Pelodiscus sinensis: one gene and its partner. The protein of the gene in region 1 interacts with the protein of each later gene in a pairwise test. Links are inferred from orthologs where the notes say so. Each region holds a gene or a part of one and is shown on either strand. Other genes may lie near its edges.

The links.
Region 2: the proteins of sal-like protein 2 (region 1) and ZMIZ2 interact in binary tests that used the Homo sapiens proteins (3 or more experiments, as listed by UniProt). The two-hybrid records come from large-scale screens. The link is inferred for Pelodiscus sinensis from reciprocal best matches to the Homo sapiens genes SALL2 and ZMIZ2.

Annotation. Positions count from the first base shown.
Region 1 is NC_134740.1:748,698-752,592, forward strand, and holds the start of sal-like protein 2, read left to right. Parts: upstream 1-1,184; 5' UTR 1,185-1,212; coding exon 1,213-1,318; intron 1,319-1,756; coding exon 1,757-3,895. UniProt on the Homo sapiens protein: Probable transcription factor that plays a role in eye development before, during, and after optic fissure closure.
Region 2 is NC_134738.1:4,833,895-4,837,789, reverse strand, and holds the start of ZMIZ2 (zinc finger MIZ domain-containing protein 2), read left to right. Parts: upstream 1-1,224; 5' UTR 1,225-1,453; intron 1,454-3,895. UniProt on the Homo sapiens protein: Increases ligand-dependent transcriptional activity of AR and other nuclear hormone receptors.

The DNA of each region.
Region 1 (3,895 bases):
GGGGGTGCAGGGACCCCAGATGGGCAGTGCTGGGACCCCCTGGGAATCGGGGTGCAGGGACCCTGGATGGGCAGTGCTGGGACTCGTCCTGGGAATGGGGGTGCAAAGACCCTAGATAGTTATGGGAACCGCCTGGGAATGAGGGTGCAAGGACCCTGGATGGGTTTGGGAACCGCCTGGGAATGGGGGGTGCAAGGACCCCGGATGGGTTTGGGAACCCCTCGGAATGGGGGTGCAAAGACCCTGGATGGGTCTGGGAACCCCCTGGGAATGGGGGTGCAAGGACCCCGGATGGGTCTGGGAACCCCCGGGAATCGGGGTGCAAGGACCCCGGATGGGTTTGGGAACCGCCTGGGAATGGGGGGGTGCAAGGACCCCGGATGGGTTTGGGAACCCCTCGGAATGGGGGTGCAAAGACCCTGGATGGGTCTGGGAACCCCCTGGGAATGGGGGTGCAAGGACCCCGGATGGGTCTGGGAACCCCCGGGAATGGGGGTGCAAGGACCCCGGATGGGTCTGGGAACCCCCTGGGAATGGGGGTGCAAGGACCCCGGATGGGTCTGGGAACCCCCTCGGAATGGGGGTGCAAGGACCCCGGATGGGTCTGGGAACCCCCTGGGAATGGGGGTGCAAGGACCCCGGATGGGTTTGGGAACCCCTCGGAATGGGGGTGCAAAGACCCCGGATGGGTCTGGGAACCCCCTGGGAATGGGGGTGCAAGGACCCCGGATGGGTCTGGGTACCCCGTGGGAATGGGGGTGCAAGGACCCCGGATGGGTCTGGGAACCCCCTGGGAATGGGGGTGCAAGGACCCCGGATGGGTCTGGGAACCCCCTCGGAATGGGGGTGCAAGGACCCCGGATGGGTCTGGGTACCCCGTGGGAATGGGGGTGCAAGGACCCCGGATGGGTCTGGGAACCCCCTGGGAATGGGGGTGCAAGGACCCCGGATGGGTCTGGGAACCCCTCAGGTATCAGGCTGAGGGCCCCGGGCTGGCTCCGCAGGGAGCGGACGCTCCGCGCTGGCCCCGGCTCCGGCTTTGGCATCCGGACACCAGAGGTCCCTGCAGCCCCGGACCCGCTCCGGCTCCTCCCGCATCCGCTCGCCCCTCCTGCTTCCTACCCCCCCCCCCCCCCCCCCCCTCCGCCGCTCCTCCCGCATCCTCCCCCTGCTCCGGCCGCAGCGCGCAGGCCCCGCGCCCGGGATCGGGCCATGGCGGAGCCCGCAGGTGCGGTACCGCTGCGCGCTCGCCGGGCCGGGCCGGGCCTCCTCCGGCCGCTGCCGGGGACTGGGCGGGGACCTCGTCCGGCCTCTGTCCGTGCGTCCTACTGTCTGTCCGTCCGTCCGGGCGTCCTTCTGTCCGTCCGTCCCCTGCACCCTTATGTCTGTGCGCCCGTCTGTCTGTCCTCTGTGCGCTCTTCTGTCTGCCTGTCTGTCCGTCCCCTGTCAGTCTGCGCATCCGCTCGCTGCACCCCCCCGTCTGTCTGTCTGTCTGTGCACCCTGGGGAAAGGAGAACCCTGCCCCACCCCCCTTCTGCTGGGCCCCGAGCCCCCGCTGGACTCTCACGCGCCCGTGGGGGGGGAGGGCGCTGTGCTGCGCGAATATTCCTGGGAGCAATGGAAGGGTGAGGGCTGGGGGGAGGCAGCCCCAGGTCTCAGGGGGCAGGTTCCCCTGCCTGTAGCTTTGGGGGTGCTGCAGAAGCTGGGGGTGCCAGGGACTCCCCCAAGGTCTGACTCTCTCTCCCTCCTTCCCCAGGGGACACGGGGGACGAGGCCGCCCCGTCCTGCCCCACGGAGCTGGCCACCCACCGGGACGCCTGTCCCCCCAGCCAGCCGCCTCCTGCCTCCTCCTCCTCCTCAGCCAACGGACAAGACAGCACTGGCCCGTCCTCCTCCTCCTCCTCTTCCTCCTCAGAGCCCCGGCCTGACAGCCCCCCGGGCATGGAGACTGAGACGACTCCTCCAGCCAGCAACCCCGCCGCCCCGGAGCCGCCCCCTCCCCCGCCACCCCCGCCCGCCACCCCCACGGGGCACCTCAACATCCCCCTGATCCTGGAGGAGCTGCGGGTGCTGCAGCAGCGCCAGCTGCACCAGATGCAGATGACCGAGGAGATCTGCCGCCAGGTGCTGCTGCTGGGTTCCCTGGGGCAGCCGGAGCCGGCTCCGGGGGCCTCCCACCTGCCCAAGGCCCCCTTGCCCGTCTTCTCCATCAAGTCCGAGCCGGTGAGGACCCAGGCGTCCAGCTCCCCGGAGGTGCCCAAGCCCACCTTCTTCCACCTCTACCACCCCTTCCCTGGCAGCGCCCGGGGCCCCAGAGCAGAGCCCATCCTGGCCCCAGCGCTCCCCGCCACGGGGCTGCTGGCTGCCCAGTGTCTGGGGGCTGCACGGGGCCTGGAGCAAGCCACCTCGCCCGGGCTGCTGCGGCCGAAGAACGGGGCCGAGGCGGGGCCAGAGGAGAAGCCGGGGGGCCGACACAAATGCCGCTTCTGCGCCAAGGTCTTCGGGAGTGACAGCGCCTTGCAGATCCACCTGCGCTCCCACACGGGCGAGCGGCCCTACAAATGCAACGTCTGCGGCAACCGCTTCACCACCCGGGGCAACCTCAAGGTGCACTTCCACCGGCACCGGGAGAAGTACCCGCACGTGCAGATGAACCCCCACCCCGTCCCCGAGCACCTCGACTACGTGCTGACCGGCGCCGGGCTGCCCTACGGCATGTCGGTGCCCCCCGAGAAGGCCGAGCCGGGCGAGGAGGCGCCACCCGCCGAGCGCAAGGGGCTGAGCGCCACCGAGAGCCTGACGCTGCTCTCGGGCACCGCGGGCGCCTCCCAGGCCCTGCCCGTCTTCAACAAGCTGGTGCTGCTGAAAGCGGCGGAGGGGCGGGCCAAGGGGGATGAGAACACCCCGCCGGGGAGGGAAGCAGACACAGCCCGGGTGCCCCTGGGCAAGCTGCCCAGCTGGGCCCTGCTGGCTAACCACTTCAAAGCCGGCAGCACCGGCTTCCCCTTCCCCTACGTGCTGGAGCCGGTGGGAGCCTCGCCCTCGGAGACCTCCAAGCTGCAGCAGCTGGTGGAGAAGATCGACCGGCAGGGGACGTCGCCCGGCCCATCCGCCCCCTCGCCACCCTCCTCGTCCTCGTCCTCGGGGCCCAACCAGTGCGTGATCTGCCTGCGGGTGCTCAGCTGCCCCCGGGCGCTGCGCCTGCACTACGGGCAGCACGGCGGGGAGCGCCCCTTCAAGTGCAAGGTGTGTGGCCGGGCCTTCTCCACCCGGGGCAACCTGCGGGCCCACTTTGTGGGCCACAAGGCCAGCCCGGCCGCTCGCGCCCAGAACTCCTGCCCCATCTGCCAGAAGAAGTTCACCAACGCCGTCAGCCTGCAGCAGCACGTCCGCATGCACCTGGGAGGCCAGATCCCCAACGGCGCCCTGCTGCCCGAGCCCCCCACCACCCCAGGGGAGCCGCCCCACCGCCCCGAGGGCCCCGCCCCGCAGCGGGATGAGGAGGAGCTGTCGGAGGAGGAGGAGGAGGAAGAGGAAGGCAGTGATGAAGACTCACTGGACAGCGGCACGGAGAAGGCCCTGGGGGGCTCAGAAGGGGCGTCCAGCCCCGGGGAGGAAACGCCGACTCACGCCAAGGAAGAGGAGGATGCTGGGAAGCCAGAGGGGGGAGCAGCGGCCGATCCCAAAGGAGGGAGCTCCCCAGACGCTGCGGAGGGAGAAGGGGACCCCAGTGCCCGGAAGGTGGAGGGAGGAGAAGGAGCCCAGGGCGCAGAGGAGGAGGGAGCAGCAGGGGCAGGAGCCGAGGAGCCACGGGCCAGCCAGGCCAAAGAGGGGGCGGCGCTGGCCTGCGGGCTCTGCAAGGAAGAGGGGGCAGCACTGTGCAAGCACGCCCTGG
Region 2 (3,895 bases), on another chromosome or scaffold:
TGCCTCTGATCAGCAGGGGGGCCGGGCCGTGGGGGCGCGCACACTGAGACCACGCTGCAATAGTAGCGCACGGCGGGAGCTGGGCTCGGCCAACGTGGGGTGTTTCGGGGTCAGGTGGGGGGTGCCGGGTTCCTAACACTCCTCCAGAGCTGATGTATAAAAGCTTTTCCCCTGGGGACCATGTCCAGCTGGGGGAGGGGGGGGGGGGCTTGGCAGATTGGTGGGGCAGTGTCCAGTGCGGGGCTGCTGGCCGGGGTGTTTTGCCTGCATGGCGCAAGGGGCCCTGGTGGGGAACGGAGTCGGGGAAGGCACGTCCGGGCTGGCGGGGATATTCTCTTGGCTGCCACCAGGACCCGAGCCTGGGCACCCTGGAGCCAAAAGGGCCAAGGCCAGGCCCTCCACGCTGGTTGGGTTCATACGCCCCTCCGGAGCTTTCTAGCGGGTGGCCAGGGAGCAGGTGTGAAACATCAGGTGGGGGGAATAGCCTCGGATGTGTGTGTCCCCCCCCACGTCTCTCTAGGACACTGCGCCCCCAGCGGTGGGAGGCAGATGTGCCCCCCCCCCCGGCGTCTCCGGGACACTGCGCCCCCTCCCCGGCAGGTCGCGGTGCCGGGATGGTGGGGGACAGAGCGGCCTGCCCCCCTGGTGTCTCCGGGACACTGCGCCCCCTCCCCGGCAGGTCGCGGTGCCGGGATGGTGGGGGACAGAGCGGCCTGCCCCCCTGGTGTCTCCGGGACACTGCGCCCCCTCCCCGGCAGGTCGCGGTGCCGGGATGGTGGGGGACAGAGCGGCCTGCCCCCCTGGTGTCTCCGGGACACTGCGCCCCCTCCCCGGCAGGTCGCGGTGCCGGGTGGGCGGCGGGGAGCCGGGCGCACAAGCGGGCCAGGCGGGATGATCCTGCGCCCACGTGCTGAGCCCCACGGCAGCGCCCTCCCCACAGGGGCGCCCCTGCCCAGCGGGCACGGCCAGTGGGGGGCGGGGTCCCCCCTTTCCCTGCGCCTGGAAGCCCCGCGCCGCGCGCCCAGCCTGGCCAGGGAGCGGAGCCCTTTGTCTGCCTTTCCCACCCCGGGCGTGCGTGCGCGGGCGCGGGCGGGGGCGGTGGTGGGGGGGGGGGGGGAGGCTGCAGCTCCCCCCCCCCCGCCTCCGGATAGGAGCTCCATTGCTCTGGCCTGGCGGGGGGGGGCGGGCCATGAATATTGATGAGGCCGCCGGGGCGCTATTGTGCAATTGGCGCGGGGCGGGCGGCAGGATGGAGGTGGGGAGCTGCGCGCAGCGGCTCACTCGCCCCGCGGTGGCTCAGGCGGCGGCGGCAGGGCGCGGAGGGGCCGCGGAGCCCGGGCTTTGTTAGCTGCACCCCCGCCATGGAGCCGCGCCCGCAGCCCCAGTGACCCCCCGGCTGCGCCGCGCCCCGAGCCAGGCGAGGACGGGAAGGGCCGGTCGGTCCCCTTGGAAGGTAGGTGCGCGCGGGGGGGCAGGGCGCTCCGCGGCGGGGGGGCCCTCGGGCGGGGGGGGCGCCCCCCGGGGCCGGCGCGTCGGGCGGGGGGGTCTGGCTCGCGCCGCCGCTTTGTGCCCGGGGGCGCTGCCGGGGTTGGGGCTTTGTGCGCCGGGGCGCGACGCTGCTGCCCGCGCCGGACTTCGGGTGCGGGTTGCCCGGGAAAGGGGGTTTCCATGGCAACAGCGCGGATGCCCTGGGCGGGGCGGGTCGGTGCGGGGCGGGGGGAGCGGGGTCGCCCCGTTTCCCCCCCCCCCCCCCGGGCGCGGCGGGGCGCGGGGGCTGGCGCTGCCCCGGGTGCCGGGAATTCACGCGCGGGGCTGCGTGGGGGCGGGCTGGGGGGTTTCCAGCCCGGGCTGCTGCCGGGGGGGCTTTCCCGTGCGGGCCCGGCCGGCTGCGAGTGCGGGGGGGTCTGGAGCGGCGCTCGGGCTGTTCCAGCCGGTTTCAGGCCCTGGACAGTGTCTCCGCGGGGGCAGGGCGAGCCTGGCCTCTGGGCCCGGGCCTTTCTGCCTGGCTGGCGGGGGGGGGGCCGGAGCCCTCCTAGGACTGGCCGCTGCAGATCCAGCCCTGTGAGCCGGGCGGGGGGCGGGGGCTGTGCCACGCTGTGACCCCCCCCCCCCCCGCTGCTGGCTTGGCTGGCCGGGGGGGCCCGCTGGGGTGTCTTACCTTGACTGGCGGCTGCGAGCGCGCAGGCCGGGAGCCGCCGGGCCCCCCCGTGTTCGCGGACAGGCGATCCACGTGCACCGCAGCTCCCTGCCCGGTGGTGTCGTGCTGCCACTGCCTAAAACTGGCCACGACTCGGAAGTGCTGTGGGCAGCAGCCCCCGGTTGTCAGCCGCTCGCTGGGGAGGCTTTGGTGGCTGCAGCCGGCGCTGGGCTGGCTTCGGTGCAGTGTGTTTTCCAGCAGGGAGCCAGGCCAGGAGGTGGGTGGGGGGCTCCGGGGTGGGGCCAGCTGGTTCTGAGCATCTGGGGAGCTGGAAGGGCTGAAGTTTGGTATCCGGCCTCCCCTGGTGTGCCCAGAGCAGGGCCATTCCTTGTCGCCCACTGGGACCCCCTGGCCAGGCCCCCTGTCCCTCTGCCCGGTTTGTTAGGACCAGCCCTAAATCCCTCCCTCCCTCGTCCTCCTGCGGACTTGCCCTCTGCACGTGGCCTGTCTGGAGTCTCCCGCCTCACTGCCCATTCCTGTCACTTTGACGCCAGCCCGGGGCGCGGCAGCGTGACCTTGTGGAAGGCTGGTTGGTTTGCACTGGGATGGGGAGGGGCTGCTGTGACTCGGCTCCCCAGTTTCCGAAGGCCTGGCCGTGCTGGCCCACGGAGACGTGGGGCAGGGCGAGTTCGTGCCCTGCTGCTGTGAATGGGCTCCCGTTCCGGGGACTCTGGACGCTGCCCCGGGACTAGCTGCTTTGGACACGCTGGTGCTGGAAGCCAGAGGTGCTGTGGGGGCGGGGCTCAGCACCTCCCAGTGCCGGGGAGAACATCCCCTCCCTGTTTCGAGGGACTCCTGTGGCTTCCCTCTTGTCCCGGGGGGGCTTTCCATCCCCAGCCTGGACTCGGCAGCGCCGGCCACTCGTGTCGGCTTCAGGGCCCCCAGAAATGCCCTGGATGCCTGGTGGCTGCAGGAAGGCGGATGTGGCCCCTGGGGTGCACTCGTGAGGGGCAAAGCCAGGAGGCTGGGGAGCTCCGGGGAGGAGAGCTCACGCCAGGCCCCCCAGCCTTGTGCTTTCTTCGGAGGCCCCGACCCCCGGGGGGCGGGCGATGCAAACCCCCCTCGGATGAAACTCTGCCCGCCGTCCCACTGTTGCCAGGGCAGCAGCTGGCTCTGTCTCCGCCCTCCCCCGCTGGGTGCGGTGCCCGCTGTCCTGGCAGGTTCTCCGCTGGCGTGTCGGCTCAGGGCGCCTTGGAAATAGTTCACTGGGTAACTGGGTTAAGCAGAGGCTCCTCCACCCACCCACCCACTTACATAACGCTGGGCGGGCCGGGCGAGTGGCCTGGAAGGTCAGGTTGTGTTGCCTCCATGGCGACCCGGTTGGCAGGGGGGAAGCAGCGTGTGGGTTCAGCCAAGGGCCAGTGGGGGGGCAGAGGACTGTGTGACGCACCCACCCAGCTGTGGCTGAGCCCACCTGTTGTGAATCTCACTCGGGGCCCTGGCGAGCCAGGGAACCTGCAGCCACCTCCGAGGAGACGGGCGGTCCCGGGGCTCGGAGGGCAGGCGGGCAGCGGCACCTGGCCCCGGGGGGGCAAGCGCAGGACAGGCCCAGACCTTCGCTGAGCCGCACCTGAGAGCAGCCTGGGCCAGGCCCCGAGCTGCTTAGCAGCTGGATTCCCGGGCAGTCCGGCTCCCACGGTCCATCAGCCTGGGGCTTGTTTCGCTGCCCTTTGCCAGAGACCCCCAGCGCAGGGGGCC